2 linked regions of the Rattus norvegicus genome follow. The protein of the gene in region 1 interacts with the protein of each later gene in a biochemical or structural test. Links are inferred from orthologs where the notes say so. Each region holds a gene or a part of one and is shown on either strand. Other genes may lie near its edges. The genes, in order: Gipc1 and Rgs19.

Region 1 (14,816 bases):
ACCTTAAACTCAAAGACCCGCCTGCCTATGCCTGCTGTGTCTTGGGATTAAAGGCTCACACCACCGTGACCAGCTTTTGTCACCTTTTAACTCTGTCCTTGATGTCCATGTCCCGACACCTCCACCACTATAGTTCATCTCTTCCAATGGCCGTGTGGTACTAACTCAATCTGCAGTTTCATTTCTCCCCAAACAACACACCTCTACACCTTTAGACCCATTCCTGTGCCCCGAGGCCTCTCTGCCTGATCTCTTGTCTCCGAGGTCCTCTCTGTTCCCACAGCCCCCGGCTGCCACGAACCCATCTCTGATCTCTATGGTGCTCTCAGACCCCATGGGTCCACCTCTTTTTCCATAATCCCATCTCTGTTGCCTCCCTGTCTTCATGGCAATCTCTCACCAGTCTGGCATTGCCTCATTCAGATGCCCATCCCACGTCCCTATTTGAACCAGCCTCTGGCTTGTCCTTTCTCTCGTTGAGAGGAGATGGACAGCTTAGGGCTGAGAGCCATAAAACAGCAAGAGAGCAGGATGGCTAGAGTTCTCCTCCTCTGGCTTGCCATCCATCACGTCCCAGCTTCTTACCCAGTGCGCTCAGGATGCAGGGTCCCCATGGCCTGGAACTTGGCTCCTGCTGCCCACTCCAGCTACTCCCTGGCTCCCGGCAGGCCGCTCCCTCTTCCTGGGGCGGCTCCTCGGCTCCGTGCCGCCTCCACCCGCACTCCACTGGCCTCCAGGGGCTGCTCCACCCCATGCATGTCTGCCCTCTGGGGCTGGGAGCCTTGAGTGGGCAAAACCTCTACAGCTGGCAATGGTCAGGGCAACTGGGCCCAGCTCCTTCTCTTCAAGGACTGAAGTTTTCTGAATTGGTTTGGTTTCTGTGACCCCCTCCTCTGAGCGGGACAGGAGCAAACCCCCACACCCTCACCCGGGCCTCTTGCCCGCCTCATTAATAAAGTGGATAAAAATCTAAACACTGGAAAATGTGAGCATCGCCTGGGGCGAGCTGGGAGGGCTATGAACTCCCGTGAGGGGGGCGGGGGTGAGTGTGTGTGTGGTGGGGGGAAGGTGGGGGTTGTCCTCCTTGGGCTTGAGGGTTTGGGAGTTGCCTGTGTGATGGGTGCTAGCAAAGCCTCCTACCCTTGCCTTTATTGTTGTCACAGCTGGGCAGAGGGCAGCCTAGGCCAGGGCAAACAGGGAGTCCTCCTAGGAGAAAGGGAGCTGGTTAAATGGCTCAGGGGAGCCAGGCTATCATCTGCCTTAAGATGTGGAGGGCAATTCGCAGGGTACCTGAGTCTTTCTAACCCTGAACCCATAGCTATGCCTCACCTTTTATCTTGAAAAGGGGCCCATGCAGCCACTGTCAGATCCATCGTAATGGGAAGTAAACACTGGAGAGCACTCACCATTGCGGACTGTAACATCTATTCCCAATACGGACCCTTGAAATTGATGCTTGCCCACACCTCGGCACTGGAGGTAAATCTCACTGGCACTGTAAATCTGTTCCCAGCCCCAGAGCACACCTCCTGATGTAGTCCCCCTCAGACCAATGCCCATGGACCCCAAGAACTTGTCCTGAGACACATAATCACATCTCTAAGGCCTGGCTGGCTGTTTATCCTGAACCCCCACTGAACACACTGAACACAGCTCCCTGAAACTCAGAGGACCCAAGGCTCACCCACAATACTCACAGCTCTGGCTCGCCCTGGCCACCAACCATCCACTACACATGGCTCCACCCAACAAAGCCACACAATCCCAGCTGCGCCCAGCAGACATGCAAGACCCCAGCACGGGGCTTGGGGTACAGTTCAGTGACGGAGTGCATCCTGAGCATGTGTGAAGCCATGGGTTCCACAATCAGCAATGAAAACGGGCCTGAGATCAGGTGTGGCAAATGACCGCTGGCAAGTAGCCACCTGCAGGGCTCTGTCCCATATCCAGGATACTCATCTCTGCCTGGTACCAGCGAGCCAGCCCCACTCAGCCTTCCTGCAGCACCGCTGCTAGGCTCACCCCCAAACATTCCTACCGGGTGCTAGAGAGATCTCTGGCCTGGCTCCCCTTTTTCCAATTGCCTTCCTTCTCCCAAAGTCTGGCCAGGGTCCCACCCCACCCTTTCCTTGATCTCCCTAAATCCTAGGATAAAAATGGTCTGTCAAAACAAGCTTGGCAGGTTTATGTCTCTGTGAAGCACTGTGCCCCAAGTACAACCGGGCACAACCTGGGTGCTGTAACAGCGCAACAGGCTTTGCTGCCACAGAGGGGTTAGGTGTAGCCTTCTCACACAATAGGAGCATATGTGAGGCCTTGGTGAGTGGGGACCAGGTCTGAACCCCAAGCTAGCCAGAAACTTCAGCACTGCCTGGAAGCTTGATGGCCTCCAGCCAGGGGGAGGGGGCGGTGGGGCAGCCAACTCCTAATTCAATTTGGAATCCAGGATAGATTTCAGCTGCTGCATTCTTCCCCTGGCCACCCCTCCTGCCCCAGAGTCAAACAGCTCCCACAGTAAAATCTCTATATCCAAGGGCGTGTGTGTTGATACAAAAGCCACTGCCTCCTTCACCCCCACCCCCCACCACTGACTAAGGGAGAAGGAACCAGGGTTAACAACCTCCACTCAAATGGGAGGTAACAGAACCCAACTGAGGAGCTCCTGTCAGGTGGGAGAAGCTGAAGGGAGGCAGGAAGAACTGGGAGTGGTGATGCACACCTTTATTCCCAGCACTGTGAATGCAGATGCAGGTGGATCTCTGTGAGTTCAAGGCCAGCCTGGTTTACAGAAGGAGTTCCAGGACAGCCAGAGCTACATAGTGACTTTGTCTTGAAAAAAACAAAGCAAAAAAAGTAAAGTAGGGAGGTCATGACCCCGAAGAGAGCTGAGGCCAGGGGGACAGAAGGGGCAGTTGCCAGCTGATAGTGGGAAGTGTTGGGGATAGAGGTGGCTGGCTGCCTAGTGTGTTGGTCCCTCCCCATGCGCTTACTCTATTGAGGTAGGTGGGGAACCCGGCAGGGGTTGGCCGGGGACCCCAACCAGGCTGGGCACCGTGGCGGTACTGATTGGAGCGGGGCCTGGACCACAGGGCACTTGCAGCCTGTGCCATCCCCAGGCTGCGGAGTTACAGCCTAAGCTGTCAGCCCAGGTCTTGGCTGTGGTTTCTGGAAACCCCAGCTGGGCAAAGCCAGGTTATCTCAAGGTCCAGGTTCAGTCCCAGTCTTAGTAGCGGCCAACCTTGGCATCCCCGATGGCTCCCCAGACATCAAAGACGAATTCATCTGGGAATGCGAAGTCACCGAGCCGTTCATCCAGAGCTTCTGCCAGTTCGTCTGGGTTCCTTTTGTCTTTCCCCAGCTCCACCATCGTGGCAGCTGTCAGGGAGGAGAAAGACGGAGGCACGATGTAGCTCAACTCCGCCTGGGTGGGACCTGGAAGCCTGCTCCCACCTTCCAGGCACGGGTGCCCCACTCACCCAGCTCTGTGTCTCTGATCCCCATGTAGCTCTCTAGCAAGTCATCCACCTTTTCAATGGCCTTTTCCTCAAAAGCTGACGGCTGTAGAGGGTGGGGACAAGACAGTACAGTAATGTCAACAGATGTCAGTGCTGGGGACAGCATGCAGGCATCAGCTCCAGTGGTGAGCTGCATGCACCCACTGGTGTGGCTGCCGCTGTTACTTATTTAATGTAGAGGATCCTTTTGTCTGCACATATCTGTGTGTCCTATGTGTCTGCCTGGTGTCTGTGGAGGTCAGAAGAGAACACTGGACCTCTGGACTGGAGTTAAGAGATGGCCACCCGTCATGGGCACTTGGAACTGACCTGTGTGGTCTGCAAGAGCCACACCTCCTATAAACTGCTAAGCCCATCTCTTCAGTCCCAACATCCAGAAATTACCATTCTCATACCCAGACATATTCTAAGTTGCCCAAACTGGCTTTGAACACTTAACTCCTATCCAGTAGCCTGGAGAGGATTATGGGTACGTATCTACACTGGGCTGCCTTTCATCTATTTTCATATAAGAACCTGGTGACAAGGTCTTACGGTTTGAGCGAATGTGAAATCCTCCTGCCAGAAATTCCGTGCTGGCAGCCCTTTTTGTTTACATCGCTAATGTCTGCTCTGACAAGAAGTCACTGAACCTACTGGACAGGGAGGAGACCCCAGGCTGCCCGATGGACCACCGTAGGTCCCAGAGCTGGTAAGAGTAGGCTTAGGCAGAGAGAGGTGTCCTGAGCCTTTCACATAATTAGAATGGTGTCACCGGCCCGGGGGGCTCACTCACCAGATCCTCCACTGTGGCAGGGCCCCGGGATCGGAGCCGGAGGGTCCCTCGGCCAGTGCCCAGTTGTGGGCCTGAGCCAGGGTGACCACCTGATGAACGCTGGCTGATCATATCTGTAGAAGGCAAAGGTAGTGGGGAAAATCAGCCCACGGTAACACAGTACGCAGGCTTCACACAACCACCTCCCACCACCTTCAAAGTTCTGCAGGCTCCTTGGGTAGGGACTGGGTTCCAGCAAGGCAGGACTTTGCATGGATGGTGAGGGGCAGCTAGGGGCCAGACATAAAAGCAGCTGGAGAGAGAATGGAAGGTAGCTTCTATTTGAAGGAGTGAGGGTTGAGAAGGGTGAGTGTAACTGCTGAGTCTCAGATAAGCCCTTTCTACCCACATCAGGGGTGCCTCAGGCCCATTCCTGAGAGTTAGTGAAGCCAGGTAGAAACGGGGGGGGGGGGGGGGCGCCGGGCACAGGAGCCATACAAGGCAGCCAAGCCTCACTTCTCCAGGCTGAGGGGGCTGGCCAGGGTTGGGGGCACTCGGCTGGGCTAATGGCTCCTGGAAGTCGGGTGTGGGGGCGACTTCCTTCTGGCTGGGCTGTCAGCCAGCACTCAGTTCTAGGGTAGGGTGGGGCTGCCCCCACTCTGCACTGCAGGCTTGAGTGCCACCTGCTGGTGGTTCCCAGGACTACAATCTGTATTTCTTAAGAGCTCAAGGTCAGCCCGGTGGGTGGTCCAGGTTGCAAGAATGGCTCACCAAACGCCTTCCGAGGTTCGGTGAGTTTGAGGGTGAAGGTGCGGCCTCGGGGCAGCTCTTTGAGGAGCCTGGCAACCTCATAATGCCGACAGCCCAGCAGGCTCTGCCCGTTGATGGCTTCAATCATGTCACCCACGCTGATGAGCTGGATGTGGTCAATCACACTGCCTTCCTTGATGCGCTGTGGAGGGGCAGGCATCAACCCTGGAAGCTCCACTCTAGGTCCCATTAAAGACCCTGGCCACTGACTAAGGGTGTGCCACCCACCCGGGCACCTTAATGAAGGCATAGCCGGCCCCGTTGTCGGTGATGGTGAGCCCCAGAGCATCCTCAGACTTGAATACTTCCACCTCTTTGCGCTGCCCCTTGACATGGGCAAAGATGAAGTCCTCCAGCCCGATCTGGCCCCCCAGCAGCTTGTCCATATCCACTTTATGGGTGTTGAGGGTACAGAACATCACCTGCAGAGGTGGGGCAAGATGCTCATCCTTCCTCCCTGGGTCCCCTATCCCAGGGACTGGTAACACCCAAAGCCAAGGAGAGGTCCACTGGCACATCAAATGCTATGAGCAGGATTTCTGTCCTGGTAAAAGCTCAAGAGCTAGCTTGACATACAGAGATCACTCGATACTTACTGAGGGGTGAAGGGGGTCTAGACTCCCACCCAGCCTTCCTACCCATCTCCACTTGAATCTCAGTCCCACTGTTGCCCTCCCAGTGGCTTCTCAGCTTCTAGCTTGGAGTCATGCCTCCAGGGCACCCTGGAGAAATAGAAGCTGCTCCTAACACCCTCCCTCCCCCTCTTGAGGTCCCACAGTATTTGGGGCACAAGCTTCCCAATGCCTTGGAAACCCAGCTGCCACCTGTGGCTGTCATCCTCCAGGACACAGGCTACTTCAGACCTGATGGGAAATCAGTATCTGCAGACCCACAATTTACTAGATTACGAGCCTCGTAAGGCCCGTTGGGAAACCCCCCCCATACCTACTAGGGTACAAGTCTCTCAAGGCCTCATAGGAACTCAGTATCCTCCTGTAGCCACGCCTCCTAGGTTCAGGGGCTGCTGGCCAGCAAGGAACACGAGCCCCAGCTCACAGGAATACATGCCCAGGCCTGTGGCTTGCTCTTAAGGGACCGTGGTCCCACTGGTACCTCAGCAGCCGGTAGTCGGAAGGCCTCAGCGATCTTGCCGTACAGCTCCTTGACATTAGTGAAGCCCTCGATGCGGCCCGTGGGGCTGCCGTGGGCCAGCTGGGTATGGAACACGAGGCGAGGCCGGAGGGAAGCAGGAGGTGGGGGCAAACCCATCTGGGATTCCCCTGCTCCACTTCCACCCAGGGGCCCGGGCTCCCCGACGCCCAGCCCACTCCGGCTTGGCTCCGCCTCCTCATTTTCCACCAGAGGTGGTGCTTTTTTCCTTCGCCCCAGTCCCAGTGGCATGAGCAGCCAGAAGTGGGGACTTGGCCGGGAGACCTGCGAAAGGGAATCGGGCTTCACTCTCTGAGTACCAGCCTTGGGTGCCATCCATCACCACCACATGGTATCGACATCAACCAACATGGTTCTATTTTGCGAAGCAATGTTTCTTAACCCAGGGGCCTGGTGCTAGTCAAGTGCTCCACCACCGAACCCCACCGTGTCTGATCACGTGACTCAGGCTCCCAAGCACAGGGAGCCAGGACACCTCCAGCACATTGCGGCCTATATAACGTTGTGTTGCGTTTGCGTTCTGCTGAGGCTTTCATCGCCCCTGCTTGGCTGGCGCTTGTCCACAGAGCTGCAGCTCCTCCCGTACAGTGGAATCTGCTGTACACATTTAAAGCTATGCAAACTCTTCTTCCGCTGTATTGTCTGAAGAGTAACAACACAAGATTCTGTCCATGGTCAGCATAGGTACAAGGCTCTCTCCGAATCGGCCATTTTGGCCTTGTGCATGTGGACCCAAGCTACAAGTCTAGACTGCCTCTTACTTTTTAGTGTGAGGCAGTTATCTCTCAGTTGCTCAGCTGTCCTTGAACTTGCAATCCTCCTGCTTCAGACTGCAGAGTGGATGGGATTACAGGGAAATAGCAGGACATCTGCCTCACCCAAGTATTTTCTGTATACAGTGGATTCAATCTGGGCACCCAGAGCTGATGTGAACGAAGAGAGGTGACTCCAGATAGCTCCGATGCTGGGGTGCAGCTCAGTGGTGGAGCACGTGCTAATGAGGACCCGGTCTCATCCCAGCATCAGAATGAAGCCTCGCACTGCACAGTAATAATCCCCACAGAGATACCCATTACAACCCCACACCCGCTGCTCTGTGACCTCGTTCAATTCTCCTTCTGGATGAGGCATGAGGCCGTTGGTGCATCCTGCCCTGACCACACCCACTGGAGCAGACAACTGAAGGGAAGATAAAATGCTGGATGGCCCTTTACTTTCCATTTCTCTGAGAAGGCTCTCACTCTGTCGTCCAGGCTGGCCTAGAACTCACCAACTCTACCTCTGTTCATCTTGCAGTGTTGGAGCAGATGGAAACCACCAGACACAGTGTCTTTTCATTTTCTATCAGTTGCAGTCATTAATGCTCTGTGCAAAACCCAAGTTTGGGTCTGGTTTATGTAAAAGAAAAAAACAAACAAACAAACAAACAAAAAACCATGAGGAAAGATGCCCTTGTAAGAGCATCTTACAGAGCTGGAGAGAGAAGGACCCCCAAGGCTCAAAGCCCACCTAGCCTACCTAGTGAGCTCAGGCCAGTGAGAAATCCTGTCTCAAAACGCAAGGTGGAGGGCTGGCAAGATGGCCATCACCCCTGCAGGCCTGAGTTTAATCACCTGGGCCCAATGAAGGGAGAGTGCGCACTCTTGCAAGCTGTCGTCTGACCTTTACATGTGCACTGGGCTATGTGTACTTACACACAAACAAACACGTATGTACACAAGCAAATGCAGTAGTAAACAGCACCCCAAAGTGGACAGCTCCCGAGGCATGAGACCTGAGGCTATCCTCCAGCCAGCTTCCACACACATCTGACGCGCACATATACCACACACACAGGAAACAAAACTCTTCTGAGTCTCTCCCTCACAGCACAGAGTGCATGGTCCCTGCCACGCCCCTTGGGACAGGGCTGGCAGATGACTGGTTCTGCCAATGAGTTGTGGCAGGAAGAGGCGGGCGATGCATCCTCATGGAAACTTAGTTACCGGGGTGAAATCCTCAGAGCAGTACTGCCCCTAGACAAGCAATGGCTGGCCTGTGGCAATGTTGGGCTGCATGGGTCTTTAGGAACTGAAGTTGTGGTGGTCTGAAAGAGAGTGCCTCAAGCCTCATATTTGAATGCCTGGTTCCTGCCATTAGACAGTGGGTCTTGAGGTGTCAAACACTCACTCCAGGCCCGGTCAGTCAATCAGTCAGTCTGTCTGTCTCTGCTTGATGCCTCTGACTAAAGTGTAAGCTCTCAGCTGCTGCTTGCCACAGCAAATCTCAGTACTTGGAAGGTAGAGGAGGCAGAGCTGTACTGTCAAGGCCCACCTGGCCTTCTCTAGTTCCAAGCCAGCCAGCGCTACAGAGAGAAATCCTGTCCCCAGCCTCCAGCACCCACCAAGAGTGTGGACCACTTTGTTTATTCGCATTTAGTGTGCGTGTGGTACACGCCCACTGTGTGTGAGTGTGTGCTCCTGTGCTCACAGATGCCAAAGGAAGGGAATGTCGTCCCCAATCGCTCTCCACCTCGGTCCTTAGAGAAGGGCCTCTGGATGGATGACCCCGCCCCCCCCGCCCCCGCCTTTGGCTAGTCTGGCAGCGCCCCCCCCCCCCCCGCCCCTGGCAATGCAGGTGCCTGGATCAGCCTGGTCCTCGCCCTGAAGCAGCAGCGCCTGTCTGAGCCACTTCTCCGCTCCTTTTATTTCTTTTCTCTCTCCCCCTCTCTAGCAAAGAACATTTTTAGGGGGCGATACTTACTATTTATATCCATGCGCTGATTTATAATTAATTAGTTTTTAAGGACAGGGTTTCTCTGTGCAGCCCTGGCTGTCCTGGAACTTACTCGGTAGACCAGGCTGGCCTCGGACTCACAGAGATCCTCCTACCTCTGCCTCCCGAGCACTGGGGTTGAAGGTGTGTTTAATCCCCCTCCCTGGCTTCACTACATACGAAGCACATAGCACATCTTTGAAAGGTGTGGTTGGAGTAGAGGGAAGGAGGGAGAGAGGCAGGGAAGAGAAAGGGCGTTGAGAGAAGGTGGCACTTTTCTTCTCTTGTAGTGCAGGGATGGGACCGGGGCTCCTGTACTTCATGGACCACACCCATACCCTGATTTCATTTTCGAGTCCCTTGTCCAAAGCAAAAAACCAACCGACCAACCAACCAACCAAAAAGTCACAAGTCACAAGGGTGCCTCATTTGCAATTCCCTGAGGAAGTTCCTTGGCCTTGACTCCTATCTTCAGAGATGTTTCACCTTCTCCTCACCCCACCCCCCATACAGCCCAGGCTGGCTTGCTGTATAGCCAAGGTTGACCTTGAACTTGTAATCCCCCTGCCTCATCCTCCTGAGTGCTGGGAACACAGGTGTACCCCACACCTGGTTAAAGTCATCTCTTCATTATTTTGAGGCAGTCACACTAAGTAGCACAGGCTTGCCCTGACTTCCGGATCCTCCTCCTCAGCTTCCATATAAAGCTCAACATCCTGGTACTAGGAACGACCAGTGCTTTGCGGAGCCTGAGGGGCCGTCCCAGGTAGAAGGGCACCCCGTTGGCTGGATCACTTCCTCCACGAGGGTTCCTTACTCAAGCCATGCATTCTTCTGACTCTGGCGCTCGCTCTACTCCCATCCACTCGCCTACACTACAAGTGGCCTCTGTGTCTTCAGGCTTCCTTTTACCCCCCAGTTTCCTGTCAAGTCAGCTAGTCAGAATGACCCTATAAACACTCTGGTCACTTCCTTCTCTGCTCTGATCGCCCCAGGCATCCCACTGTCCTTTATGCCCCTTCAGCCTGCTCTTCCTTAGCTCCCTCCCTGCAGCCACTGGGGCCTCTAACATGCTTCTCAGTTGGTCAGGCCAGAGCGAGCTGCCCAAGTCTAGGTAGTGGCTGCTCGCTCTGCTGCCCGGCTCTCTCCCCCACCCTACGGCTGGGATGGGTATTTCATGTCTTTGCCTGCTGCTGAGGGAGACCTGTGTCACTCGTGCCTACCCCTCATTATGTGGAACACTGGCTGGCAGCCACAGACACAGCACTGGTGGACGAATGAGTGCCCTGTGTAGCCATTTCCCCAGATCACACGCCCCGCTTGTGACCTTCATCCTGCTCCCAGCACAGTAGCCAGCAGGGGGCGCTGTTTGACAGTGCCTGACAGGGAGGCACTGCTGAATTCTCCAGGCTTTTGGGATAACCAATGGTACCCAACACCTTTTTGTACATTTTTAATGCTCTTGATTGGCTTTTTAGTGAATTGCCTGTTAATTCCTTTTGTTTGGTTTTTGAGACAGGGTTTCTCTGTGTACGCTGTTCTGGGACTCACTCATGTAGGTCAGGCATGCACGACCATCCGTCTTCTTTTTCATCAACCTAAGTCTTTTGTTTACATTATTCTGCTGGATGTGTGTGTGTGTGTGTGTGTGTGTGTGTGTGTGTGTGTGTGTGTCTGACTGTAGGTGCTGCAAAGGCCAGACAGCTCCATAGCTAGATCCCTAAATATAGAGTTAGAAGTAGCTGAGGCCGCCCACCATGGGTGCTGGGAAGGAAACTACACTTGATCTTAGCCAAAAGGCCGAGAAGCGATGGGAAACTCAGGTCCTCTAGAAGAGCAGCAAGCATTGTCAACTGCTGGGCCATGTCTCCAGCCCCTACAGGGCTCATTCATGGATGTGTGGGCACATTCGGAGGTTATTAGGTCAACCTTGGGTATCGGTCTCCAAGAGTCACTACTTTGCTTAAAATTTTTACTGAAGCTGGCCAGATGGTTCAATGGTTAATGCCTACTCTTCCAAAGGACCTGGGTTCAAACCTCGGCATCTACGTGGCCTCATCATAACTGCTTCTAACTCCAGCTTCAGGGAGGATCTGATGCCCTCTTGAGTGCGCAGACATGCATGCAGGTGACACATCCACACACATAAGAAAATGGTGACTTTGACACTAGGCTGGTTAACACAGCAAGTTCTCGGACAACCAGAACTATGTAGTGAGACCCTGTCTCAAAACCAATCAAAAATAAAAACCACACCGTGTGCACGTGTTGCCACAGTGGGTGTGCAGAGACTGTAGGAATCAGTTCTTTCCTTCTACCATGTGGGTCCCAAGGATCGAACTCAGGTCCCAGGCTAGGCAGCAGGAGCCTTTACTGTGCTGAGCCATCTCTCCAGTGTGCCCACTCTATTTATACTGCGAGCTTAACTCAGGGTCTCCCATATGCCAGGCAAGGGCTCTACCACTAATTTACAGCCCCTATCCCCAGCCCTACTTTGTCTTTTTGAAGCAGGGTCTCTCCTGGGACGGAGTTCTCCAGTTGGCCAATGAGCCCCACGGGTTGTCCTCTTTATGTCCCCAGAGCTGGGTACCAACAGCAAGCCACCATGCCTGGCACTTCCACATGGGTCTGTCAAATTCGGCTGGCCCAGTAAGTAATGTACCATGTCAGCTACCTCCTGGGTCTCCATGGCCCCTGCATGGCTTTGTTCTGAGGAAAATGAGTGACTCGTAAGTTAGAACTGAAGACCCTGAGGTGTGGTATGGTGGCCTGGATTCAAGTCCCTCCTTTGTCACTTAACAGCGGCACAGACAAGGCCAAGCTGCTTTACTTCATGAGGCCCCAGTCTCTGCATCTGAAAAATTGGCAGAATTCACATTTCTCGGGGTCCCTGTGGGACCCAAAGACTATGCTGCATGCAGGCTGTCCAGTGCTTTAGCTCATCGCTTCTGGAAACATTATTTGCAAGTGATGGAAACAGAAGCTAGCGCGTTTTATCTGCCCGTCCACCTGCACGTGCATGCGCGCGCGCACACACACACACACACACACACACACACACACACACACACACACAGAGCACTCTACCGCTGAGCCACACTCCCTCCTCTACCCTGCACTGATTCTGGGTGTGGGGGCAGGGGAGCTGTGTACTGTTGAGCCACGCACCCCTCTACTCCTCACTGACCAATTCTGGGCAGGGGCTGTACAGCTGAGCCACGGTCCCAGAACCTTACATCCTCCCTTCCCTGGCCCAGGACCACCCCAGTTCCTATGTCTGGCAAGGCCTTTTCCAGAATTCTCCAGGCAGCCTCCTTGCCGGAGCCCACTGGAGCAGCTCCCATGGTCTACAGGACATAGGCCTATGAACTTATTTATAAGCTACCCTGATGACAGCTCTCATCTTCCAACCTCCCGGCTGTTATTTATCGGTGTCTGTGCACCGCTTGTGTGCTTGGACCATGTGGGTGCTGGGTATCAAAAGTCCCAGCAAGTGTCTACCTTAGAATCCGACCTGACAAAGGGATCCCACAGTATAGAGGGAAAACTCAAAAAAAAAAAAAAAAAAAAAGAAAGAAAGAAGAAAGAAAGAAAGAAGAAAGAAAGTGTCCTGTATACTAGGCACAGCAAACTCCTGTGAATCACACCTCTAGCTTTGTTCCTTGTGTCAGCTATAGGACACTGCTCTGCCCGGGGTGGGTGGGTGTGTGTGTGTGTGTGTGTGTGTGTGTGTGTGTGTCCTCCGCACTGCAAAAGCTATACTGTTCCAGGACCCTTATGCCCAGTGATGCTGAGGCCACTACAGCACTTATGAGGATCTGCAATGGCTGCCCGTTAACTGGTTGCCTATTCCCCACTAGAATACAGGAAATTCTGTCCTGCATTTGGAGTCCTCTAAGCGAAATATGCTGCCAGGCACAATAGCTGTTCAGTATTGGTAGGTGATGGGTGTGTAGTTCAGATGCAAGGCACCTGCCTGCCTAACCTGTGAAACCTTGAGTTCCACGAGGGCTGAATTGTAGAATGTAATGTCATACATTCCCGACTGCCTGTGGCCCAAACAAACCCCCACAACATGACCGCTTGAGAGCTAAGTGTGAGCACCTCTCCAGTCTGTCTGCAAGTTGCTGAAGGGAAGTGGGTTGGATGGATTTCCGGAGTCCAGCACTCTCATCCCAAAAAGGGCCTGAAACTCAGCAACCCTACAGTCACAGTAAAGCCAAGTGGGGGGAGCAGGAAGCAGGGAAAGGGGTTGTTCCTGGGGCTCAGATAACGCCTAGCTTAGGGGACATCACACCTGCTCCCTGGTCGGTAGTCCCTCCCTGCTAACCCCCAGCACAGTATTGCTTCGGAGAGGAGGGCAGGAGGCCTCTGATTCATTCTTGAAAAACCGGATCCTGAAGGTTTCATCTCTCCAGTGTTTCCGGGGCGGGGGCAGAGGGGCAGGAATGCACAGCTTGACTGGTCTTGGCCTCGGTAGCCTGTCTCCCCAGACACCAAGCCTCTATACTTCCAGTCACTCCTCTTCACAGAGAAGAGTGGACAGGGTGGGTGGAAAGGAAACGGGGTTAAGCGACCCGTGGTGTTTGGGCCTTCCCTCTTCAGTTCAGAGAAGGACCGCGAGGGCTACTTGGAAGCTGTCCAGTGACCCGTGGGCGACAGGAGAAAAGCAAAACCCAGCAAGCAGGTGCGGCTCCTTAGTGAATATAAGGACAGCAGTGGGCGATGAGTCCAGGGGCTGGCTAGGGACACCTGATCTCTGGAACTAGTTTCTGGACTCAAAGGATAAGGGTCCCTAAGCCCCATGAGCTACTTACGAGCTGTGTGACCTTGGGTAAATTACTCCACCTCTCTGGCACTGGTGCCTCACTTCTAAAACAAGTTAACAACCCCTCCCAGGAGGGTGTTTTGATTCAACGCTGTGCACCGTAAGTGCCGGACGAGGAAACGCTGGTCCGGGTTAGGGAAGGGGAGGCATCAAACTAGTACAGCTGTTGTTACTGTTATCCGGACCTGGGTGGTCTCCGTGTCCCCGCGGCTTTGGGAGAAGGCCTGGGAGCGGACGGGAACACGGACCCACCACCAACAGGGAGCGTCCAGGGAGCAGAGAGCAGGGGCAGACCGGAGGCCGGGCAGCGGGGAGGGGTCCGTGTTTGGGGTCCCGACGCGGCCAGCTCCACCCCACCGCACGGCTCCACGCCCCGGAGGCCGCCCCCCGGGCGGAGGACACTCACCTGCGCCGCCGCCACCCCGTGCGCCCTGCTCGGTCCTCTCGAAACTCCGCCCGGCTTCTCCCTGGGCCTCCGGCACTTGGGCGGGGCCGGCGTCCCGAGCGGACTAATCAGCGGCGGCCGTGCACACTCATGTCCAATGAGCGCCTCCGGTCGGAACGCTCTGGAGGGATCCCTCCGCCGTACCTCGGACTCCCCCCATCGTGCGAGCAGTGGTCCAACCTTACTCGCTCTAAATGACGGAGGGCTGAACCATTGTGGGGTTGCACGGGTGGGCGGGCGGGTGGACTGGGCGGGGAGCTGGCAGTGAGAGTCAGATGACGGGGTTTGGAGGACCGAGCTCTGTACCCAGGAAAGCGCGCTTTTTGAGAGGTCAGGGAGAGGCCGGAGGGCAACCTCAAGCCTCGCTTCCCTCTCAGAAAGATGCTTTGATTCCAGGGGGTGGACCACAGTGAATAGGGAGGGTCCCGCGTGTCTCTGCCTCTTCCACTCTATACAATAGACAAAGGCGATCGCGCATTCATTCAGTCTTTCAATATTTAAGTGCCTCTGCCTGGTACCAGGCTCGGTCCTGTCTCTACA
Region 2 (15,080 bases), on another chromosome or scaffold:
GAAGAACTGCACCTACACGCAGGTCGGGGCCTACACCATCCTCCATCCTCCTGTCTAGGGGCCGCAGGGTGCACTCCTCCTCCTCTTGGGTATCACCTGTGTCCCTGCTTTTGGCCTGAGGCTCTATGCCAGGGCTCGGTGGCTTGCCCATGCCTATCACGGAGGGATGGGATAGGAGTAGAACATGCTGTTTGTCAGTAGCTGTGGGACCTTGAGGTCCTACTATGGAGGTGGAAGCTGAGGTACTCTAGGAAGGCTATGTGGTTTCCATGGGACATTGGGAGCTTGGGAAGAGGGGACTAAACTAAGATGGTCTCTCTGGTAGAAGCTCTAGGGCTTATGGGAACTTCCATCATCTGCAATAGGCTGCAGAGGGCTGGACCTGAGGGGCAGAGCAGCTCAGTCCCCACAGCTCAGGCCCTGTGGGATGTTTGCTGTTGAGTCCCCAAGGCATCTCTGATCCTTTTACTTTCTAGACCCTCCTGTTGGGAATCCTGCACTTAACCAATATTCTAGACTCAACTGAGCACAGTTGTTCAGGGCCACAAAGGCCTGTCATGACAACCTACCTCCTCCAGAGGTCTAGTTCTAGAAGGTTGGGGTAGTTCACTGGGAAGTTTCAAATCATCAATAGAGATCAGCGGGTATAAGACCAGTACTGCCCAGATCCGGGCAGCAAAACCAGGGATTCAGCCACCCACCCTACAGGTGCAGACCCGTAGCTCTGATGAGCCCATGACCACCTATGTTGTCTGCAATGAGTGTGGGAATCGATGGAAGGTAGGTGTTTGCCTCCAGTCCTGTCTCAATGCATATTGGGCCTGAAGTAGGAACTGCGGGGGTGGGGTGGGAGGTGAGATGGGGTGGGAGTGGGGGTGGGGAGGAGGCAGGCTGGGAGTCTCCTCCTGGCTAGGAGTCCTGGGGACTCCTAGCTGCCTGGGAGTCTGGGATGGAGCCTAACCCACTTCTACCCAGGGGGTCATGTGGGGCCTTGGCTAGACATTTTCCTGCCTTCCTGCAGTTCTGCTGAGTCCTTGTACTGATGTAGCCCTGGCCATGGCTAACCCTGAACCTCCTGCAACGCTCTTGGTGGACACAGCTTCTCTGGAGATACCCTGCAGGTGGCATGCCCCGTTCCAGCCTGCCTGGTGTGCACCTGCCTGCCCTTTGCCCCTCATCATTAAATGTTTCTTTTTTGCCTTCCTCTGGCCTTGCTCCTAATGGGCTAAACACAGGCTTCAGCTGGGTCCTATCCGTCCACCGCTGTAGATCTTTCCTCTCTGGGCTCCGACAACACTTGAGCTAAGCTGTGGTAGGGCAACACTATAGACAAGAGCTTGTCTAATGTTGGAGACATTCCTTGTTTGTATGATTCTAGGATATTGCTAATGCTTGTATGTGCACCACCATGCTGGCTGTGTGGGCTGGTGCAGGAACTTGCCCAGTGCTCACCCGTTCTCACTAGGTATGGCAGCCTGAGGACCTGGTATCCTTTCAGGATGTTTTACTTTGTCCTTCACTCCCCTTACCCATGGTGGAGGATGGTCTCTGAGCTGAAGTTAATTCTAGCTTCAAACTGCTGAAACTTCCAGCAACTTGGAAGAACAAAGTAGCGAGTGTGTTGCTTTATTGGACCGGTAAGATTAAGATGCTGTGCCTAGCTTCTTTGGAAAGACCATACCATCCGCTTTGTCCCCACCAGCCTCTGGAAAGGCATTTCATCAAGTACACAAGGGTTTTAGGTTTTACATCATCTCCAGTTGCATCTCAAGCCTTTGTTGGGTGCTGACCACTGTAGAGTTGAGGCCAGTTTCTAGAGCCAGACCCTGGACAGGGCCCACAATAGTCACCTACTAAGGCCAATGCTATGGGACAGCACACAAGGTAGAATCTGGATAGATAGTCCTTTTCTCCAACCTCCTCCTCCTCCAACTGTGGGATAAACAGAGGCTTCTGTTTTTAAAATACACAGAATACTATATCATGTTTTTGGCATGTAGAGGAATACACACAAATGTGAAAGGTCTCTTTTTTTCTTTTGATAAAACATACAGTATGGACAACTTTAAAGTTAATATATAAAATATAAATGGGCTCTTCATTTGAGTCTGACTCTGAGGTTCTATATCTGCTTCTGAGGAATTAACGTTCTCCTGCTACAAACTTGTTGCTATACAGGATGTTCTCCATGAGAACATCTCCTGGGCACACGACTGGAGGGTGGTGGTCTGAGGCACCATGTAGGAGAACCCCCAGTAGGAGCAGGCTAGGACAGAGCAGAACATGGCATTGCAGTCTATTTCAGCCAAGTGGAGCAGGGCCACCCCTAGGCTGCCCATGGGAGAACATCTGTGTGACAAATGACCTAGGCCTCAGAGGACTGTGGGGCCCCCTGGAGTAACAGAGAGCGGTAGGTGGGGGAGGTGAGGAAGCGAGGGTAGGAGTCCCGGTGCATGAGGGTGTAGATCTGCAGCTGTGCGTCGTCGAATGTGTGTGGTGATGGTTCTTGCATCTTCCTATTGATGCCTTCTCGAACACGGGAGTCCAGGCTGACCTGTGTGGCAGGCACCAAGGTCAGGGGGAGGGGCAGTGCCTTCCCAGGTCACCCCCACTCATCCCTGCATCTGGCCCACCTCCTTGGGGGACAGGATGGACACGTAGTCCTCATAGATAAGTCGCGCCTTCTCATCCACCACATGTCGGTCAGCCTCTGTTTTCAACTCCTCACAAGCCAGCCAGAAGAGCATGTTCTCCTCACTGTATTCTGTGCGCAGGAATGCCCGGAATACACTGCGGCCCGTGGGGCTATGCATCAACTTGTCAAAGGACTGTGCCCAGCTCTGTACTTCCTCAGGGCTTGGTGGAGTGCTGCAGACATTAGGGCCAGACCATGTCAGGCCTGAGACATGCACACAAGTACACATACATGCATGCCTACACAATGGTGGCTATACTCACCAGACTTCACAGCTGGGGAGGGGTTGCAGCTTGCTTTCCCGGGAAACCTGCCAAGCTCGTTGCCGTTCTTGGTTCCTAGTGGCAAAGTAAAGTGGCAGTGCCCTTTGCAGTTGAGTTCTCCACACACCACTGTGACTATGTATGCTTTGGTATGTGGGTACCTAGCACCAGTAAATCTGTTACCAGGAAGGAAGGAAGCTCCTACAGTGAGCCTTCTTCACATCCTCTTGTCCCGTCCCCCACCCCCACTGAAGTGGCTTATGCAGATTGCTGTTCTGGTTACCACTGTGCTCTCTATACTGGTCAGCAGTTGGACTCTTAAGGTTCCTGGTACCCCTTCCTCTCTTTGGGTAGATAGAACCATACTTCTCAGCCTAGTTCCAGCTCATTCCTGAGGCCACTGAAAAATCCACACTGCGGACATAGTAATATGACTCATTGGCTGATGTAGGCTAAGAGCCTCTCTAGTGTGACTATACCTGTCTGGTCCTGGATCCTGAACCCTGCTTCTAAGGGAAGCTTCTTCCTGTCAGTCTTTGTTCAGCAGGCACAATGTACATCTCATTCCCAAGTTATGGAGAGAATGCAGTTCCCACTAGGCCTGGCTTCTCAGCAACAACATGGCTCAAGCTTCCAATGAGCCCTGCCTATTCACATTTTATTCCTTGTATCTTGCCTATACACAGTTCTGGGTGGTTTGCTGTTCAACAGATCCCACTTTGAGTCCCTCAGTCTTTGTAGGGCCAGATTGCTGTTAAGGTAGAAAATTTCTACCATCTTCTATATTCCTGCCATCAGACATCCCCAAACCTCAAATACCTTTCTGCCTAGGGCCAGCTGTTCCTTATCTAAATGTGTCCCTACTGCACACAGTCTAGGATCTGGGCAGCTCTCAGTGGTATACACAGGTATATGGTGAGTGCATGGACACCATATGACTGCCACTTGCTTGCTCTTGCAATATAATATTACCACCCCCGTCCCCAGCACACTAGGTGTAAAAAGGGCTGGAGAGATTGCTCAGTATTTAAGAGCATTTGCTGATCTTCCATAGGTCCTTGGTTTGATTCTCAGGACTCACATATTCGCTCTCAACTGTTTGTAGTTTCAGTTCCAACACCTCCGTCTGGCTCTTCAGGCACCAGGTATATTTGCAGCACACAGACATATTCAGGCAAATACAACATTTAAGAGCCATAGAAAGACCCCTAGGATCTGGGTATTCCCACCAGCCAACAAGGTCTAGCAGTCTGTGGGCAGGGTGATATTGTGGCAGGGGCTCAATGGTTTCTTGGAAGCCTTTGGTGGGTCTAAGGACCAGGACCAGGAATAAGCCCTAAATGACAACCCCATCACAGCTTCACATGCTTCTGTCCTTCTATATGAGCTGCTCCCAGGACTACATACCCCTGTTCTGTGTTTCATGAACCATGTACTCCCAGGCCTACATACTCTGGTTTTGCTCCCCATGAGCCATGTACCCCTTCCCAAATGCCCTGAGGTCTTCCCAGGGCAAGCTGTACCTCCAAGGTCCACATACCAGGAACAGCTACAGCAGCAGCACCAGCACAAGCAGCAGGGATTTCGACTGGGAGGTCCTGAGGGGGCTGCATCATGGCTGGACATCGAGGGAGGCCTGTCTGCCTCTTCTGGCCCTGTGTGCTGAGGAAGAGGGGGCTGCCTCAACCTCCGCTCTAGAATTCACTGGACCTTCTGTCTCTGCCCATCTGCCTATGTCCCCAAGGTTATATCTTGAACCCCAGGTGTCCAGGGACCCAATAAGAGGCGAGGAGTGCCTACCTGTTTCTCAGCCTCATGTGGGGTGGGCATGGGTGAGTGGAGGGGGTTGCCCAGATTCTGTGGTGCCAGCTCTGGACTCTCAGTGCAGCATAGGAGCCTGGCAGATCTGAGAAGAAGGTTGGAATTCTGACTGAGAGCCTGTGATGCTGGCCCACCAACCTTGTAACCTGTGCACCCACCTCAGGGCTTGGTCAGAGTTCTGCCCCAGCCTTTTACCCTAAGCCTGATTACTTATACCATGTGGAGATTCCTGAGTCAGTGACAGGCTACTGCAGCTGGGCTTTCCACAGACACCCCTATCTATCTGTTCAGTCCCTGAGAAGCCGGAAACTTGGGTTCCTCTTTCTTGATTTCCGGCTCCTAGCCCCTCCCAAGGGGACTGGAGCTACAAGTTGGTATGTAGGGTGTCAGATATTGACTACTCCCTTCCTCCACTCCCTTCCTCTAGGGAGATGGGTAGAGATGCTACCCAGATGACTGTAAGGTGCTAGGCTTGAAGCATTGAGTACCTGACTGGGACTCAGAACAAGACTTCTGGAAGTGTGAGGAATGGGCTACGCACTGATGAGAGGTGTTTACTCAGGAACAAGGTTCTTTGGTTTTCAGCTGCCTCAGATAATCCCACTTTTACCCTGGTTTCCATCTATCTCCCTAGGATACAGAAGCTAGTGTGGCAATGTAGGAGGATAAACTGCTTAGCAAGAACCTTGGGCTCTTCGGTGGATTTTCTTATGGTTTATCAGTTTTGATGTTGGACCATACCTTCACAGGGGGTTCTAGGAATCCCTTAGGCCACCGAAAGCTGACTTCAAATTCCAGTGTCCCCAAACAGAAGCATCTAATCAGCACCTTGGTGGAGCTTTGAGTGCCTCCTCTCTCCCCAGCCTGTGCCCGCTGCTTCTGTCCAGGTGGAGGCCACTCAGGCTTTAAGCCCTCTCCCTGCTTCCTCTCATCTGTCTGGGGCTCACATTTTCTTAATGAAATTTACCCTCCTGTGGTCCTTCATCCAGCAGAGGCCTTTTAATCCTGTTTCTGTCTGATCACTATATTCTGGGCAGCTTCACCACCTGACACTTTCTGAGATGGTGGGTTCCCAAGTCTCCAAGCAAGTAAATCAGGACACAGCAAGTAGGGAAAAGGGGTGTAGTAGCCTGAGGTCTCCATGCTTTCCAAAACCATCATTCTGTCACCCTGCAGACCATCCCTCATAGGGTTCATCTCCAATCAGCTGACTGGACATGGGGCCTGGATGCTGGGGTCCAGTGGGTGCACTGGTACAGGCTCTGGTCCTAGCTCCTTGCACCCATCAAAGGTCAGCTGGGACCACCCACGTCCTTCAGGGTGCTCTTCACTACTGCTTCATTTCTGGGCAAGGAAAGCCTAGAGTCTGAATCAGGGTTGTCCAGTCCCACATCCAGCTATTGAAGGGCTCCTTTCCTCCCCAAGCCTCCCAGGCATTGGCCTCCCAAGTCTATGCTAAGAGGCCAGATTCAGTAAATTTGCTCTCTGGGGACAGAAGCTCCCTGGTGAATGACTGTCGGTGTTGCTCCACAGAAGCAAAAAGAATGTCCAAGCCCACCCAGACCAAAAAAAAAAAAAAAAAAAAAAAAGATAAATTCCAGAAAAAAAAGTCATAACCTTTGGCGGGGGCGCTGACAGGGGGTCCGTTCTCATTTCCGTTCAACACTGTCATTGTCCTACCTATACCTCCATGGCAGGCCAGGCCTCTCACCATGGCTAACCTGTGGAATGGTAGGCCCCCACCCAGTTCCTGCTTTTTTGCCGATGGGGTCGTCTGGAGGGTTGGTCACTTCGCAGTCCCTCTTGCAGTCTCTGACGCCCCCACCCCTCTCTTAAGGAATTCACCATGGCGCCCAACTCACCAGCGACCGAAAGGCAGATGGGGGCGGGAGGGCCAGGTTCGGTTTGGGCCCCACCCTGGCTGCCGAAGGGGCGTGCTCTAAAGCAGCGAGGATTTAAGTCAGACAGCAAGACGCACTCCCGGGCACTCGCGAGGTAGAAAGGCTCACGGAGTTCCGCTCCGATGGGGCCGGGGATGCGGCATTCACCCCTAAGGCTCGCCAGGCCAACTGACTAGCGGACCCAACTCGAAGGGTGGTTAAGGTGGCAGATCGGGTGTCTCGTCTGGCCCCTCCCCACCAGGCTAGCGGGCAGGAGACACGGAAACCTGGGTTCTTCCGGCCCCCACCTTTGAGCAATCACTTCTCAACGCTCTGAGCTGGAGAAAAGGGGAACCTTGCTGCGGCTCTCCCTCCCCCACGCGCAAGGGGTGGGCTCCGGTCCTACTGCGACCCAGGTCCACGTGGACCGGTCACTGAAGTCCGGGAACAGAGCCGGCATCTATATCGCCGGGGCCCGTCCACGGTCCAGCGCTGCACTCACCGCCGCGTCCCCGAGTCACGCCACCCGCGCGCTCCGAAGTCCCGCTGGTCGCCGGGGAGGGGGCGCAGGCGCAGTGCGCAGGCGCCTCCGCGGTACTTCCCCAAAGAGAGGGGCCGGGACTTCCTCGAGCCCCAGCGCCTGCTCGCTCGCCCGCAGTGCCCCGCCCCGCGCCCGCTCCGGTGCCCCACCCGCGGCTGGCGTGTCGTACTGCGGTAGCGTGGCATGATGACCCTGAGGGGTGAGTCGTTCAGAGACAGTGGATTGAGCCGGCGCTCCGTTCTAGTTAGCTGAGTTTTCCCAGCAATTTTGTGGTAGTGCAATGTTGGGCACCAGAGCTGAGCCCTGTGTGCTACTTGGCTCGCCTGGGTTAGAAGAGGCCTTTGAGAAGGACTGGCCCGTGGTACTGCCCGGTCTGGCTGACTCTTCGCCTTTCTGAGTCTGGTCTGTAATGTAGCATTAACAGTCTGTCTGTCACTCAGCATTCAAATCCCCCCCCACCCCGCAACCCCCAAAAGGGAGGTTCAGGAACTGCAGCGTGTGGGCACCATGAAAGCAGGTTCTTCCATCAAATCACCCCGAATGTTTCTGGGACCTGGTTGAGTCCCTTCTGAACTCTCAAACTGCTCCAAGATAACCTTTACCACAAATAGCCTTGCTCTTTGGTCAACTCTTCAGATCCTTTGTCACTGGGTACAAAATTGAATTAGTTCATTATCCCAGCATGCTTTACACTTGGTCTGTAGAGTGTGGTCCGTTGGGCCATATGGTTCTTGTTCTTCTTAGCACTGGGCACACAGCCTGACCAGTTCAGGTGTTGGTGTCTTGCAAACAAAATGATGTTCAGTCACACAAGTTGTTTGTGTTCACATACTAAAATCATACATACTAAGTCAGAGAGGCTTCACATGAGCTCTTCAGGCAGCGGGGCAGAGGCAGAGTAACTGAAATGACTGCAGTGGACTAGAGTGGGAGACAGGCAACAATGGGATGGGGTGAGAGGTGAGGAGGCAGGATGTTGCCATGATGCTCAGGGGTCCAGGATGAAGAGAGAACAATGGGTGAGAGATTACCAGGCTCTGGAGGGAGGGGTGTGGGGCTTTATGAGTTAACCACAGAACCCTTTGGCTGCCAAGCTAATGGCTTCCAAAGGTAGAGGCTAAGAAGCCTATGTAAACAGGAACAGTTACTTTAGTTAAGTAATATTTCTGAGAGGTGGACATGGGTCAGAACATGGAGGCCCAATAGAAATGGATGAGTATCTGATGGAAGCCAAAAAAAGAAACTGATTTTGCAGTGTTTGGTGCGGGCATGACTGTGGGTAGAAGTCAGTACACTTTCCTCTTATTTCCTTCTACACACCTATCTCCTTGTTCTCTGCCACCTTACATCTGCCCTCCACACAATTAGCACCTTTCCCTAAGCACAGAAAATGCCTCCAAGTCAAGGAAGGAGACCAGGAGCACTGAGTAAGTGATGTCATTGGGATTGGAACTGGAACGCAATCTACTCTGCTTGAGAGCAGAGACCCCAGCTCCTCACAAGCCCCACCTGATTGTGCATGGGCCACAGACTTTGTGTTCCTGTAGGATTTTCTTCAGACAGAGGGATCCTATGACAACTTCCCTAGCTGCATCTGTAAACCCAGTTCCCTCACTGGTGCGCAGAGCAAGTGGCACTCTTAAGTTGGTCTGGCACGTGGTGTGGAGCTCTTGTGCCATTGGAGTGCTGGCCTTCTGATGTTTGCCTTTGTTCTCAGCCCTCTGTTCTGAAGTACTTATGTGGATTACTCACTGTTTTGGACACTGCGGAACCCCCAGGAAGAAATGCAGGGTCAGAAAGGTGATGGAACAATGGCACAACTTTACAAAGTAGATGGAAATTTTCACTTAGCGAATCTCTTAAGAGACAAAATTCTAGGGTCTAGAGCTTGGCCAGAGGAGCTCAGCATTGGCTGTCCTGTAGTGTAGTTGTTATTAGAGATCTACATCTGTGTGTGAGAGAGATCATCATTCCTGGATGAAGAGACTGTGTCCTTTTCCTTGTCCATACCCACGTCCAAACCTACCACTTCCCTGCCTCTGTCATCTTCCCCACTGTCAGAAATCTGCCCCCCTCCTGAGAGCTGCTGCTGTTTTGTGAATGCTGCAGTCTGGGCTTGGATCAAGGCCTAGAGCAGCAACAGGCCAGAGAGTAAGAAGGGTCATGTGCAGGGGGAGAAGACCAGCTGCGGAAACAGAACCCTGGGAACTAGCCATCAGCAAGTAAGATCCTTCTGGACCACAGTTTTGATCTCTTCTTCCTCCATTCTGTTCTCTATTTCATGCAGAACCAGTGGGAGCCCCCATGCAAGAGCAGGGAACTATCTTTCTCCCTGCAGCGTCCACCTCTGTGCAGCCTGATGGGGAAGGACTGGAAGGAGGACAAGGACAGGGAGCCAAGAGGCCACAGGTTCTGCAAAGAGCCAGTGCTGTGGAGAGGAGGAAAAAGAGCTGCCCAGAAACCAGGGACTTTTAAGAGTTCAGTGGTCAGAATGGGATGGGTGGCTTCCTTCCTGTGCTCCGTGTTTGGTGCATGACTGGGCCCAGGAGGCTGTTTCTGATGAAAGGGAGGCTATGGGTGACTTTTCTGTCCCACCATCCAGAGACCTTGGAGTGAACATCCCATTTACAACCTGTTGGTCCTCTGGGCACAACTGAACTCTCCAAAGGCCTGTTTTGGCTTTGCAGTCATTTCCCCGTCCCAGAACACCACCCTAGTCCTTAGATGGAATGACCCTAACTTTGGAGACAGCCCCGATTTCTGGGGGTGCTGGTGTCTAAGTAGGCTCATCCCTATCCTTTTCCACACTAGAAGCCTCCCACATCCATGGTCCTGAAGGGCACCAGTTGCAGGCTGTTGGGAGATAGGAGTGTCCACCCGCCATCTCCTTACTTCTTTGGCTGTGGCCGTAGGAGAGGCAGCATCCATGTGGGGGTCCAGGAGAAAAAGAGGGGAAAGACCTGAGAACCCTCAGAAGAGAACTTTATATAAGAGTGGAGAGCCGCTGTAACTTGGGGTCTTTGAACGCCAAGGTCGCGGTCATCGGTCATCGCGGGAAGATGTTGCCATCTACCTCCTCTTCCAGGATTGTCTCAACACGTCTCCGCTGCAGAGAGAGGGGCTGGGGCTAGTGTGTGGCGAGGCACGGGACCCTCCCACCAGTCTTGGGGCCTCCCCGCACCTCTTGTCGGTCCAAAGGATCAGGGATCTTCGTGGGCTTCAGTTGGGGTGGTAGGAACAGTTCCAGTCGGATGGCGGCGCGCGCGCATCTTTGCTTCTGGATCAGGAGAGAGATTTCTTCTGCCTGGGAACCAAGTTTACTAAGCAACCCTGCGAGCGAGCGAGAGCCCTAGAAAAATACCCTCCCTCCCCCTGCAGGGTGAGCCCTCTTTAGAAGACGCGTACTGGGTCCTCTCCCTTCTACCTACCCGCATTCGGGTGTAGCGCAACCGCAGGGCACGGATTCGGCCCCGGGCTTCCGCGGCCTTAAGGATGCCCAGAAGCCGATTTTGACGCTCAGATGGTAGCTCTAATGCCTGTGTCCAGATGCGAGGGTCGGGCATGCAGTAAGATAACTCCACCGACTCGCGTGGAAACATGGAGCCTACTTCAACCATGTCAAGTAGGTCACTGAAGAGCAGGTGGCGTCGGCGTACTGTGGAGGACATGGCTGCCAGCTTCTCCTGAGTCAGTGCCCAGCCTGGCTTCGGAGGCTCTGTAGTCCATGGGCCCTTCTTACGCTTCTCACCAGCTCCAGCTACAGGTGCACTCTTTTTGGCCTGCTCTCGTGCGCCCTTTACTCCTGGGGTCGGCATGCTCCAGTCTGTGGAAGAAAAGGGGATGTCCAGCCACTTAGGGGAACACTGGCTCCAGTTCTGTTTCTATGGGACTTCCTGTAGCCACCTAACTCCTAAACTGGTAGCTGACCCTGTGTATATCTGCAGTAGGCCATGACTTTCTGATCCTCTCCAGTTTCAGTAGTATACTCAATTGTCCTACATGCCATTGTTGCTCCACAGCTCGCATCACTATGGTCATAAGCCATTCAGCGTCCCCTAACTCTGGACCATCAGAGGCTGGTTTGATCCTGTTCCCTGATCCCTAGTCTTTGGTTGGGGTAGGGGTAAGGACATGGCCCTTCATGATACCTTGGACAGGGGACCCCACCTTGTGTTTGAGTGTGTATGTGAATGGTGTTGTAGGTATATGTGTGTTTGGATCTGAGTGTACATATGTTCACAGGGAAGCTAAGCCTTTGTTCTTCTGGCCTATCTCCTTATGGCAAAGACGTGGGGAGCAGAACCCAGGGAAGAAGAGACAAAAGAGGAATGGCTCAGAAAGGGAAAGAAAACCAACCCTAGCAACCATTTTCATCCTAGCAGAAGCTCCTGACTTTCTGTGGGTGAGAAGTAGAGACACAGTTGAATGCTCTTCCCTCAATTTGTCTAACCCCTTGCCCACCTAACAGCTCAACATCTAGGCCTCCCCAACCCAGGTCCTCACAACCTCATACTTTCTTCCCTTTCAGTGGGAAGACTCACCTCGGTTTTCAATCTTTGGGTTTGTTGACCATGTTGCCTAGCAACCTGGAGCCCCGCCCGCTCCCCAGCACAATGGGGTACGCCCATAAGATGCAGAAATTAGAGTCGCATGTGTGTTGTGTGTGTGTGTGTTGTAACCTGCCTCAGGTCCTCTCCCACATTTCCTTCGAAGTGACCCTGTGTCTCAGATTCACTGTCCCAGTCTTGGAGGCTGGGTTCTGGCTGTAGAGGCTCTTTGGAGCTAGCTTTCTGGGCAGAGCTCCTACAAAATACCTTTGTGACTAAGGCCCACCTTAAGCCCTGTAGGAACTCAGTACCTCCTTTCATCGACTCTGGAGCAAGTTTGGGATCTCAGGGGTCTAGAGGTTTACCAAACCCTAACTTCCTCTAAACTTGGATGGCAGGCCTTAAAGTTCTATAATCTATGGCGCAATCATTGATTTAGTGATTTAAAAAAATAACTACCGTAGTTTAATATTTATTTATTGATTGATTGATAGGGTTTCTCTGTGTAGCTTTGGCTGTCCTGGAAATCGATCTGTAGACCAAGCTGGCCTTAAACTCAGTGATCCGCCTGCCTCTGCCTCCCAAGTGCTGACATTAAAGGTGTGCACCACCACTGCCCAGCTAATTTAATTTTTAAATCTACTTTTATTATTAAAAAAACACTTACAAATAAAAAAAATCACATGCCAAAATTAACAAGACCCCACATCTATACACTCAGTGAACTTCTCTACAGTTGGAATAGCTGTTTGAAATAGAAGCTGGAGCTTCACATTGGATTTTACTCTTTCAATATCGAATATATTTTTATGCATGTATCCACCACCAAGCCTGAAAATTTTACAACAGAGTTAGAGCTAGGAAAACAATTAACTTCTTTTATAACTTGTGTCCATTACTTATATTCAGTTCTTCAGTCTCTAATATTTAGCCTTTCTTGTTTTCCTTTTTATACATTGTTCCATAGCCATAAGTACATCTGTTTACATACATACACATATTGGCCAAATTCTACATATGAAAAAGCATTTCCTTAAAAATCAGGAAAGACACATGGCTATCCAATCCCTCTTTCTTTTCTTCTTTCCTTTTCCTTTTCCTTTTTTTTTTTTTTTTTTTTTTTTTGAGTCAGGGTTTCTCTGTGTAGCTCTGGCTGGCCTGGAACTCAGAGCTCTTCTTGCCTCTTCCTCCTGAGAGCTAGGATTAAAGGTATGAGCTACTGCTGCCCGGCCACTCCCCCTCTCTTATTTGATTTAGTGCTCAGAGTCTTAGCTAAAGTAATTAGACAAGAGGAAGGGGTAAAGGGGATAAAAATAGGAAAGTAAGAAATCAAACTATCTTTGCAGTTGGCACATTTTTTAAAGGAAATACTTTAAAAAACTTATTTATGTTTTGCTTATTCACTTTACTTTCCACTCACTGCCCCCTCCCAGTCACCCCCTCCCACAATCCTTCCCCCGTCCCCCTCTCCTCCTCTGAGGTGGTGGGGACACCCTGGGTCTCTTGGAGGCTGGGTGCTTCCTCTTCCTCTGAGGCCAGACAAGGCAGCCCAGCTAGAAGAACATATTCCACATACAGGCAACAGCTTTCGGGACAGCCCCTGACTCCAACTGGGGACTCAAAGGAAGACCACGCTGTACATCTGCTACATATGTGCGGGGAGGACTAGGTTCAGCCAGATGGCACAATTCTTTACTTAAAAGGTCCTACTTAATCTACTGGAAAACTACTGGATGTAATGAGCACTTACAATAAAGTTGCAGGATACAAAATTCATAAAATAAAAAAGAAACAAAAAACAGTTGGGGCTAAAGAAATGGCTTAGTAATTAAGAGCACTGGCCTCTCTTCCAAAGGAACCTGGGACCTGGATTCAATTCCCAGTACCAGCATGGCACTTTATACCCATTTATGACTCCAGCCCCTGGGGATCTGACACCCTCTTTTGGCTTCCATGGAATGGGAGGAATGCACAAGGATACATGTAGGCAAAATACTCACTCATAAAATAATTAAAAACAAAACAAAGTATTTATATCACCAGTGTATTCTCAGAGAAAGAAATCAGGAGAAATATTTCATTCAAAATAACTCTAAAAGTTAAGTATTTAGGAATGTATCTAGCCAAAGCAGAGAAAGACCTCTACAACAAAAACCTCCAGATATTGAAAAAGTGAGAACTGACTCAGTGATTAAGGACATTGTGATGGTTTTATATGCTTGGCCCAGGGAGCGATACTGTTAGGAGGTGTGGTCTTGTTGGAGTAGGTGTGTCACTGTGGGTGTGGGCTTTAAGACCCTTCTCCTAGATGCCTGGAAGCCAGTCTTTTCTTAATGGCCTTCAGATGAAGATGTAGAACTCTCAGCTTCTTCTGCACCATGCCTGCCTGGATGCTGCCCTGCTCCTGCCTTGATGATAATGGACTGAACCTCTGAACCTGTAAGCCAGCCCCAATTAAATGTTGTCCTTACAAGAGTTGCCTTGGTCATGGTGTCTGTTCACAGCGGTAAAACCCTAACTAGGATCAGCATGGACAGCTCTTCTGAAGGACCTTGGTTCAATTCTTAGCAACCACATGGAACTCATTTCCAAGGTCTCTGACAACCTCTTCTGGCGTTGGCATGTAATACATGCATGTGGTGCAAAGACATATATGCAAGCAAAGCAACCATACACAGAAATAAACATTAAAAAACGATAACAAAAAGGGGAAATCACAAAAGATACTAGATCACGGAAAGACATTCCACGCTTCTGGACTGATAGAATTAATATTGCAAACATACTCCTGGCACTGGCATGAAAACTAGGCGGGCAAGTCAATTGAATAGAATAGAGGACCTGAAATAAAATGAGATAGGTGTGTTGTGATGGTTTGTATATGCTGGACCCAGGGGTGGCACTATTCAGAGGTGTGGCCTTGTTGGAGTAGGTGTGTCACTGTTGGTGTGGGCTTAAGACCCTCACCCTAGCTGCCTGGAAGTGAGTCTCCCACTAGCAGCCTTCAGATGAAGATGTTGGACGCTCAGCTTTGCCTACACTATGCCTGCCTGGATGCTACCCTGCTCCTACATTGATGATACTGGACTGAACCTCTGAACCTGTGAGCTATCCCCAATTAAATGTTGTCCTTATAAGAGTTGCCTTGTCACGGTGTCTGTTCACAGCAGTAAGACCCTAACTAAGACATGTTCCCACTTAATTTTTGACAAAGGAGGCAAAAACATACACTGGGGAGAAAGTCGACTATTTAACAAATGAGAACTAACCTTAGATACCAACAGATGAGACTGCATGAAAACAAAAAGTTTCTGTACAGAAAAGGAAAAGCAA

Evidence for each region.
Region 2: the proteins of Gipc1 (region 1) and Rgs19 form a complex in vitro, tested with the Homo sapiens proteins (2 studies listed by BioGRID). The link is inferred for Rattus norvegicus from reciprocal best matches to the Homo sapiens genes GIPC1 and RGS19.

The regions. Positions count from the first base shown.
Region 1 is NC_086037.1:41,377,425-41,392,240, forward strand, and holds Gipc1 (PDZ domain-containing protein GIPC1), read right to left. Parts: upstream 6,519-14,816; 5' UTR 6,481-6,518; coding exon 6,193-6,480; intron 5,502-6,192; coding exon 5,316-5,501; intron 5,222-5,315; coding exon 5,041-5,221; intron 4,404-5,040; coding exon 4,291-4,403; intron 3,559-4,290; coding exon 3,477-3,558; intron 3,376-3,476; coding exon 3,224-3,375; 3' UTR 2,701-3,223; downstream 1-2,700. UniProt on the Homo sapiens protein: May be involved in G protein-linked signaling.
Region 2 is NC_086021.1:189,180,431-189,195,510, forward strand, and holds Rgs19 (regulator of G-protein signaling 19), read right to left. Parts: upstream 6,858-15,080; 5' UTR 6,642-6,857; intron 4,865-6,641; coding exon of another isoform or gene 4,789-4,864; coding exon 4,759-4,788; intron 4,621-4,758; coding exon 4,499-4,620; coding exon of another isoform or gene 4,482-4,498; intron 3,034-4,481; coding exon 2,959-3,033; intron 2,869-2,958; coding exon 2,634-2,868; exon of another isoform or gene 2,555-2,633; coding exon 2,366-2,554; 3' UTR 2,018-2,365; downstream 1-2,017. Other genes in the region: Tcea2 (transcription elongation factor A protein 2), read left to right, coding at 1-22, 709-780, 1,022-1,030; protein LKAAEAR1, read right to left, coding at 10,247-10,306, 10,382-10,477, 10,629-11,023, 11,128-11,245. UniProt on the Homo sapiens protein: Inhibits signal transduction by increasing the GTPase activity of G protein alpha subunits thereby driving them into their inactive GDP-bound form. Binds to G-alpha subfamily 1 members, with the order G(i)a3 > G(i)a1 > G(o)a >> G(z)a/G(i)a2.